Danio rerio: one gene and its partner. Each later gene encodes a partner of the first gene's protein in a complex. Links are inferred from orthologs where the notes say so. Each region holds a gene or a part of one and is shown in the gene's direction. Other genes may lie near its edges. The genes, in order: nup58 and nup54.

Region 1 (4,413 bases):
AGATTTAATGTGAACTGTAATGTTTGTCAATTCTGCAATAGTGATTTTGAAACTGTTGAAGAGATTTCTTCATTGTTATTTGATTAATCCTCTCTGGTTTGATGTAGGCAACTGGATACAATATATTTCAATGTTTCCTTCTATTTGTTGGGACATTGTAAATTTTGGACTACATTTGAACAACAAAAATGATGACTTAACTGCAAATTGTTAACTTCTTTTAATTAAATTCTTCATTCATAGTTGCACACTTTTGAAAACAGCTCCTCAGTTGATTATCTTTAAAAAGGAGTTTGCCACCTGACGCTTTCAGAATAATGAAGGGTAAGAAGGGTAAAATAAAATAGGCATAATGTATGATTTGTTTCAAGAATATGGTTTTATTTAAACCCTCACCAAGTTTTAGTTTGATGTCTGCGCAGTATGTTGATTATTTTTTTGTTAAGTTATTTAATATAAATTTTGTTTGTTTGTTTGTTTGTTTGTTTTGTTTATGTGATGGCTTTATATTTAAATTAATGTATATCTGACATGTATGGTGGACGAAACCTGCAAAAGCAATACATAAATACATAAATATGCATATATATCAATAAATGAGAAAAATTAATTAAGAAAATCCTACTTAAAATAAATCGATAAATAAATAAATATGCAAATAAAAAAATTTATCTTTTTATAAAATTCACAAATTCCTGTATGATTAAATATGTAAATAATAATAATGTGGGCTGGTAAATAATAAAATAAAATAACACGAATGTTGGAGGAATAAAAAAAATGCAATATCGAAAAGTTGATACCCCCTTTTTTAAAACCTTTATTCAGTATTTAGAGAGGCTGTCTGTCATTCATTAGAAGGTGGTCTTTATGCCATCATTGGTTGATCATTAGAAAAATTTTGCATTTGATTTTTTTTACTGGCTTCTGATGAATGACAGACAGCCTCTCATTACCATGTTGACCTGTATAAAGGTTGAAAGGGGGGTAATAAATCAACTTGTTGCATCTTTTTTATTCCTCCAACATTCGTGTAATTTATGCAATTATTTACTTGTCAGCACTATTCATTATTTTATATTAAATATATTTATTTATGCAGGTATTTGTGGATTTTATACATGTATTTTTTCATTTTTTTGCATGTTTGTTTATTTATTGATTTATTTATGCAGGAATTTCCGGATTTATTTACTCATTTATTGATATATTTGCGTATTTATTGATTTATTGTTTTTGCAGGTTTCGTCCTCCATCGACATGTCTCAGTCAGTTTGTGAAAGATTATGTTGGAATTGAGTTTGGCCTAAATTATTATGTTTTTGAAAGGCAAAAAAAATTATGAGAGAGAGAGAGAGAGAGAGAGAGAGAGAGAGAGAGAGAGAGAGAGAGAGAGAGAGAGAGAGAGAGATGTGAACTTGGAACATGGCATGGACCTTCCAAACCTGTAGGTGGCAATGTGGATGAACAAACAATGTTTGAATTTTACAGAGAGGAAACAGACGAAGAGGACATTGTGCGCGCAAAGCATTGAGCTGCAATATTTTCAATGCCTTGAAACGGATTTTAGTTATTTTAAAAACACTGAATTAGACCCCTGTTTCGTCGTTTAAAGTTGTTCGTTCAAATTTTCTTCATACCGTCCAGAATTTCGCGGCAGCTGCTTTTATTTTGCACCTTATGTCGTAAGCAGTGTGTTTCGGGCCTCCACGAGGTCACACCCGCTTGATTCTGATTGTCAAGTTTTGCAGATTTAAGTCCAGAATGTCTAGCTTTAACTTCGGCACAACTACCCTCGGGACCACCGGAGCACCAGCAGCAGCTGGAGGAGGAGGGTTTTCATTTGGAGCTGCGACCAGGTATGAGGACGAATTCAATTAATGTTTTTTTTGTACAAGTCGACGCTTTTCACAATAATTATTGTTTCAAAGCAGCTCCACAAAAAGCGCATATTATTGCATTACGATTACATTCAGAAAAGTTAAGGTTATTAGTTACCATAATTTTATTTGTTACTATTAACTTTAACTAATTAACCAGTAAATAATAGCTTTTAACTGTTAAAGTTATATATAAACATAGTTAACCTACAGTTATTTACTATATAGGTGCTGCATATGTGTACATGTTTAATGTTGCGTTTTGTTTTAATAAGTCTAAAAACTAGCTCAACATCATAGCCTGAAGTTATTGGTTCGTAACATTGCGTTGTATTTCTGGCTTTTTTGTTTCACTTTAGCTCTTTCAATGGTTACCTAAGTATTAACTAAATGTGTGTTGGTAATTAAAGCCTAATTTGGTATTGTCATTTTTTTGTAGAATTTAAGATTCAATTCACTTTCAGTGTTTGACAAAAGTGCACACTATTGTCCACAATTTAAAAATCAATTCATGTTTATTTATATACAGTGTTTTCTACAATGTAGATTGTGTCAGAGCAGCTTAACATAGTTCTAGCAATGTCCAGTTTTCAGAGTTTAAGTTTATTTTAGTTCAGTGTGGTTTAAATTTCACTGCTGAAAGTTCAAACACTGTGAAGCAAATCCACCGAAGCACAAGTCTCAAACCAAGCTAGCCAGTGGCCACAGTGGCGAGGAAAAAAACCTCACCAATTGACGAAGTGAGGGGGGGAGAGAACCTTGAGAGAAACCAGGACCTATTGGGCATGACTATTATTCTTTTGGCCAAACTTCCTGTGTGGACCTCGAGACTGGAGAAGCTGCAGGTGTGAGTAGGACACCAGCGGGAGGTCAGGCTACCCCACAGGATCAATTCGGGAACTCGTTTCTCACTGGTTTTTCAGAGATCAGTCTCATGCACTCCATTCATTATCCATGGCATCAGCTCGGGATATGGCCCGGTCCAGGATTATGGATACCTTGGGATCATCTCTTCACATGTCTTGAATGGCATTAATGACGCTGCATAATCTCTAGGGGCCTCAAAATTAGTATCCTTAGGTGGAAATAGAGACTTAAGAAAATGATTAGCATAGCTGCTGTTCATATTGTATTTAAACAAGATTCAAAAAGTGTTACAAATGAAAATAGCAGTGTAAAATGTATATTTGTGTGTTGTTAGTGAATTGTTTATTGTTTTAAGGTTCAGATATTTTTCTGTATTGTTATATAATAATTTTAGTAATATATATTTGTTTCATGTTTTTAATGTCTATTCCAGCACACCTGCTGCAGGCACAGGTGGATTCTCATTTGGAGGTTTCGGGGCACAGACCTCCACACCGGCACCCGCCACCACCAGTACCACCTCCACATTGGGATTTGGGACCAGTTTATTTGCACAGAAACCAACAACTGGATTCAGCTTGAGTACACCTGCCTCAGGTTCCTGACTGCTCTTATGTCGAAAACACTCCTTAATTTAGCATTTTGATAGAGTAATAATAAAATTGTTGTGGTTAATTCTCATTTTTGATTTATCATCTGATAACATTTTCAGCAGCTGCTGCATCCACAAGTGGCCTTTCGTTAGGTAAGCAATAAAAAACAATTTAACTTTCATTTGATTGTCCTGTTTAGTTCAAATGGTTATAAGCTTTTGCAATTTTTATTTGGTGCAAGAAACCAAGATGGGACATCCCATCTTTGAACATTTTTTTAATGTGAACAGAGTTTTAAGATTTAATGAATTTACATGTTTAAAATGACTTTACCTCACTTAACCAGGTTTTCCTAGACTCTGATTCTTTCTTTTGTCTTGTTTTGTTGTTTTATAATGCTTTAACAGTTGTTTGGACTAATTTATAATTATTTTACATGGTCTCAAATTACATAAATGGGTAATAAGATTTAGGATTTTATTTTATGTATTAGTGTTATCACACTGTATTACTGTAATTTGATACCAATCAGTACTGAAATTTAAAAAACCTCCCTTTCACATTTGAGCGCATTCTTAAACAGCGCTGATTTGCCATTGTGTTTATCTGTGCTCAACAGAAATGACTATGATCGGCTGTAAAGGTCATCAGTTCACCGAACTCATTGCTGTTTACTGAGTGTAAACACTGAGTGTAAAGCCGCAAATAGCAGCTGGTTTGTTTTAAGCTGGCATACGAGCGATCTTTATGGCTTTAAAATTCTTCAGTGTCCCTGTATCTGTGGTCACACTCAGTAAACAACAGCGAATTTAGTGAACTGATGACCTTCACGGCCAATCACAGTCATTTCTGTTGAGCTCGTGAACCCAATGGCAAATCAGCGTTGTTGTAAGAACAAGCCCAAATGTTAAAGGAAAATAGACTTTTTTTACATTTCCGTTACGAATTCCAATATTTTGAAGACACTATTATGTGTTATTTACTGCCGTTGATGTCTTTCTATTGGTATAATAGAGAAGTATTTATAAATATTTATATAAATGTAAATATTTAAATAATTATATAAATATGTA
Region 2 (3,824 bases), on another chromosome or scaffold:
TAAATAAGCATTTCACACACATTTTAGTGCACATGTCAGACAGACCGGCCTTCAAAAACTGATCAGAGACGGCAGCGCCCTGAAGAGAAGCGGCTGAGAAGCCCTGAGCTACATGACTCCTGAACTGAGCGACTGCAGAGGTCAGAGGTCAGCGTGTGCTGCAGTCAGCTCAGTCACTCTGCACTCTGCAGCTCATTTCAGGACAACTGACACTCGACTTCTGATGCACATCTGAGCACATGTGGACCAAGTGTGTGTGTGTGTGTGTGTGTGTGTACCCAGGTGGTGTGTTCGGCCAGCAGGCTCCGCCCCCGTGCAGTCAGCTCTTCAACACAGCGAGCGCTCTCTCAGCGCCGGCGGTCCTCAGTGACGAGCGAGACTCCATCCTGGCGCGCTGGAACCAACTGCAGGCATTCTGGGGGATCGGCAGAGGATACTACTGCAGCACCACACCGCCTGTAGAGTTCAGCCAGGAGAACCCATTCTGCAGATTCAAGGTGCACGCACACACACACACACACACACACACACACACACACACACACACACCTCTGCAGATTCAAGGTGTTGTGTGTATTATTTCAGGGTGTTTCTGTAGTCCCTCTGTGCTCATCTCTGTGTGTGTGTGTGTGTGTGTGTGTGTGTGTGTGTGTGTGTGTGTGTGCAGGCGGTGGGCTACAGCTGTGTTCCAGATGTGCGTGATGAGGACGGTCTGCTGGCTCTGGCTCTGGGGAAGCGTGAGGCAGATGTGCGTCTGCAGCAGCAGCAGCTGGTCGAGTCTCTGCACAAACTACTGGGAGGAGCACACACACTTTCCGTCAATGTGGAGGGGGTGCGCGCGCTGCCGGACGACCAGTGAGTAACACACACACACACAGACTCATATTAAAGTGTATCGCAGATGAAAGTGAAGAGCAGGGATGAAGACAGCAGGTATAGAAAGACACACACACACACACACACACACACACACACACACACACACACACACACACACACACACACACACACACACACACATGTGAAGCAGTGGGGAGTTTCTGACACAGTGTCTGCTGCATGAGGACAGGAGGAGTGTGTGCTACAGCAGGTCTGTCAGCCATAAAGGAGAAGACTCGACCTCCTTTAGTGGACTCTGCTCTTCAGAAGCCCTGAGTGTAGAGCTCTTGAAGAGCGGGTTGGGCTGTAGCGAGACAGAAGCTGGGTCAGATGAACAGGAGCTGGGTTATTCACAGATTTATAGGGAAGCAGCAATATCTGATGATCAATACTGGACTGAACAGCAGCCGGTGCAGCAGGAGAACACGCGGGGATGAGGACATGTCTGCTGCAGCTTCACTGACTGAAGCTTATTAATAGAGGACGCTGGAGCAGCAGAGCCTTACAGTCATCTCATCTAGAGCTCATACAAGCATCAGCTAGCTCTGCTGAGCCTGAGAGCAGGAGTACAGTAGAGCCTCACACTGACCCTACAGCCCCCATACTGCACTGCCTGACCTCTGAACCCTGACACACTGTACTGTAGAGCGCTGTTCATCTGTGTGTGTGTGTGTGTGTGTGCACGTGCAGGACGGAGGTGATCATCTATGTGGTGGAGCGCTCCCCGAACGGCTCCTCTAAGCGTGTGCCGGCGTCGACGCTCTACAACTTCCTGGAGCAGGTGAACATCAAAACACAACTGCAGCAGCTGAGCGTGATCATGACCGTCAGCCGCACCGCCCTGAGCCCAGCACAGCTCAAACAACTGCTGCAGAACCCCCCCGCAGGTACACACACACACTGACTCCAGCACAGCCACACACACTTGTGATGCACATTGCTGATGAATAACAGACAGCTAACTGTGTGTGTGTGTGTGTGTGTGTGTGTGTGTGTGCGCGCGCAGGTGTGGACCCCATCATCTGGGAACAGGCTAAAGTGGACAATCCAGACCCAGAGAAGTGTGTGCTGATTCACTCACTCATGCCTGATGCTGCTGCTCTGATCTTCATCCTCTTCCTCTTCCTCCTCTTCAGGCTGATTCCGGTGCCGATGGTGGGCTTCCGTGAGCTGCTGCGCCGGCTGAAGATCCAGGAGCAGATGACCAAACAGCACCAGACACGAGTGGACGTAAGACAGAGAGTGAGAGTGTGTGTGTGTGTGTGTTTTACCACTGATGTGTGTGTGTGTGTTTCATTACGTGTGTGTGTGTGTTCAGATCATCTCCACAGACATCAGTGAGCTGCAGAGGAATCAGGCCACCACCGCCGCCAAGATCACACAGTACAAACGCAAACTGATGGACCTCTCACACAGAGTGCTGCAGGTACCACACACACACACACACACACACACACACACAGACTGTCTGGCTAGTTTCTGTGCTCTACTTCTGCTGAATAGGCAACACTAGTCCAACACTCCTGGCCATGATCACCAGTGAAGCGGGGGGAATCAGACATCAGTGTAGTGTAGCCGGACCGGCTCAGATGTTCATCTCCAGTCGTCAGTGCATCATCTGCTCCTTCATGACAGTTTTGTAGCTATTGAACAGATTTAGCTTGTAAACTGTCTCGTGCACATCAGTGTAGCCTGTGACTGGAGGATGAACACATTCAGTAATGGCGGATCTGCTCTCCGCTTCTGCCATGGCCTCTTTCGGCTTTAACATCCCTCAAGTTTAATAAACATTTATCAACATCTTCCTCCTCTCTCACGGCTGCTGCAGTCTCTGGCCAAGAACGACTGATGCTCAGGTTCTGTCTGATCAGGGATTATACAGGTGTGTGTACAGGCGTTCTGTTACACACTAACACTTCAGAGTGTTTCATATTCAACTCAAATCAAACACGCCGCTGCTCGAACTGTTCACTGCAGTCTGAAAATAACCCCGCGCTCCACACACCGACATCACGTCACACACCCGAGGCCAACCTCCGCAAACACAGCGACGACGTCACAGTCAAGAGAACTAGCGCACACATCGAGAATAAACCAGGCTTCACCCTCTCTCTCTCTCTGTGTGTGTGTGTGTGTGCGCTGCAGGTGTTGATCCGGCAGGAGGTGCAGAGGAAGAGTGGTTACGCCGTGCAGCTGGATGAGGAGCACCTGCGGGTGCAGCTGGAGACCATCCAATCAGAGCTCAACGCACCCACACAGTTCAAGGTGTGTGCATGAGGGGATTTCCTCCATCAGCACTGCATTCAGATCACACACACACACTCACAAACACTCACACACACAAACACACACACACACACACTCACAAACACTCACACACACATTTTTGAAATGGTTGCACTGCACAGTTTGTCCACACGATGTCGCCAGTGAACCGAATGAGCAGCAAAAGCTGTGAACACACACACACACACACACACACACACACACACACACACACACACACACACACACACACACACACACATAAAGCGGTGTCCACTGTAGTGTGTACTCTGGCTGTCAGACGCTCACTGCAGAGGGAGACTCTGGTTGTTGGCTAGTGAAGGTTTATTGATGGCAGATTCAGACTCGGTTCCTCTGCAGCTCATGCGGGGACACCGGCCGGGTCTGAGGCAGGGGAACTCTCAGGCTTCAGTTCAAGCTTAATCAAGGTAATGTGAACATTCACCCGGCCTAATCTGATGCCATTTCAATTCACTAAACGTCTTAATAATGATGAACACTTTATAGTCAATAATAGTTAATATATATATATATAAGATCTTTAGGAACAGAGCAATAATACAGTAAATTCAACCAAGATAGACCTTTTCCAAATGAAACACAAGCAAACTACCACTGTTCTATATGGTGTGTAATGCTTCTGTTGATATTTAATTTCC

The links.
Region 2: the proteins of nup58 (region 1) and nup54 are in contact, whole or in part, in a crystal structure (PDB 4JO7), measured with the Homo sapiens proteins. The link is inferred for Danio rerio from reciprocal best matches to the Homo sapiens genes NUP58 and NUP54. Residues at the interface, in NP_054808.1 of Homo sapiens: Pro342, Tyr345, Phe346, Leu349, Val350, Phe353, Gln356, Leu357, Tyr360, Gln363, Ile364, Leu367, Leu371, Gln374, Ser378, Ile392, Tyr393, Phe396, Leu399, Ala400, Leu403, Ile406, His407, Val410, Lys414, Tyr417, Tyr420, Arg421; in NP_059122.2 of Homo sapiens: Tyr453, Leu459, Glu462, His466, Leu467, Gln469, Gln470, Gln471, Gly473, Leu474, His476, Leu477, Ile478, Ile480, Ile481, Asp484, Leu485, Ile488, Lys489, Leu490, Val491.

Annotation. Positions count from the first base shown.
Region 1 is NC_133199.1:28,988,562-28,992,974, reverse strand, and holds the start of nup58 (nucleoporin p58/p45), read left to right. Parts: upstream 1-1,520; 5' UTR 1,521-1,764; coding exon 1,765-1,859; intron 1,860-3,180; coding exon 3,181-3,344; intron 3,345-3,459; coding exon of another isoform or gene 3,460-3,462; coding exon 3,463-3,492; intron 3,493-4,413. UniProt on the Homo sapiens protein: Component of the nuclear pore complex, a complex required for the trafficking across the nuclear membrane.
Region 2 is NC_133196.1:116,778-120,601, reverse strand, and holds part of nup54 (nucleoporin p54), read left to right. Parts: intron 1-282; coding exon 283-497; intron 498-667; coding exon 668-855; intron 856-1,569; coding exon 1,570-1,766; intron 1,767-1,885; coding exon 1,886-1,940; intron 1,941-2,015; coding exon 2,016-2,109; intron 2,110-2,197; coding exon 2,198-2,305; intron 2,306-3,024; coding exon 3,025-3,144; intron 3,145-3,824. UniProt on the Homo sapiens protein: Component of the nuclear pore complex, a complex required for the trafficking across the nuclear membrane.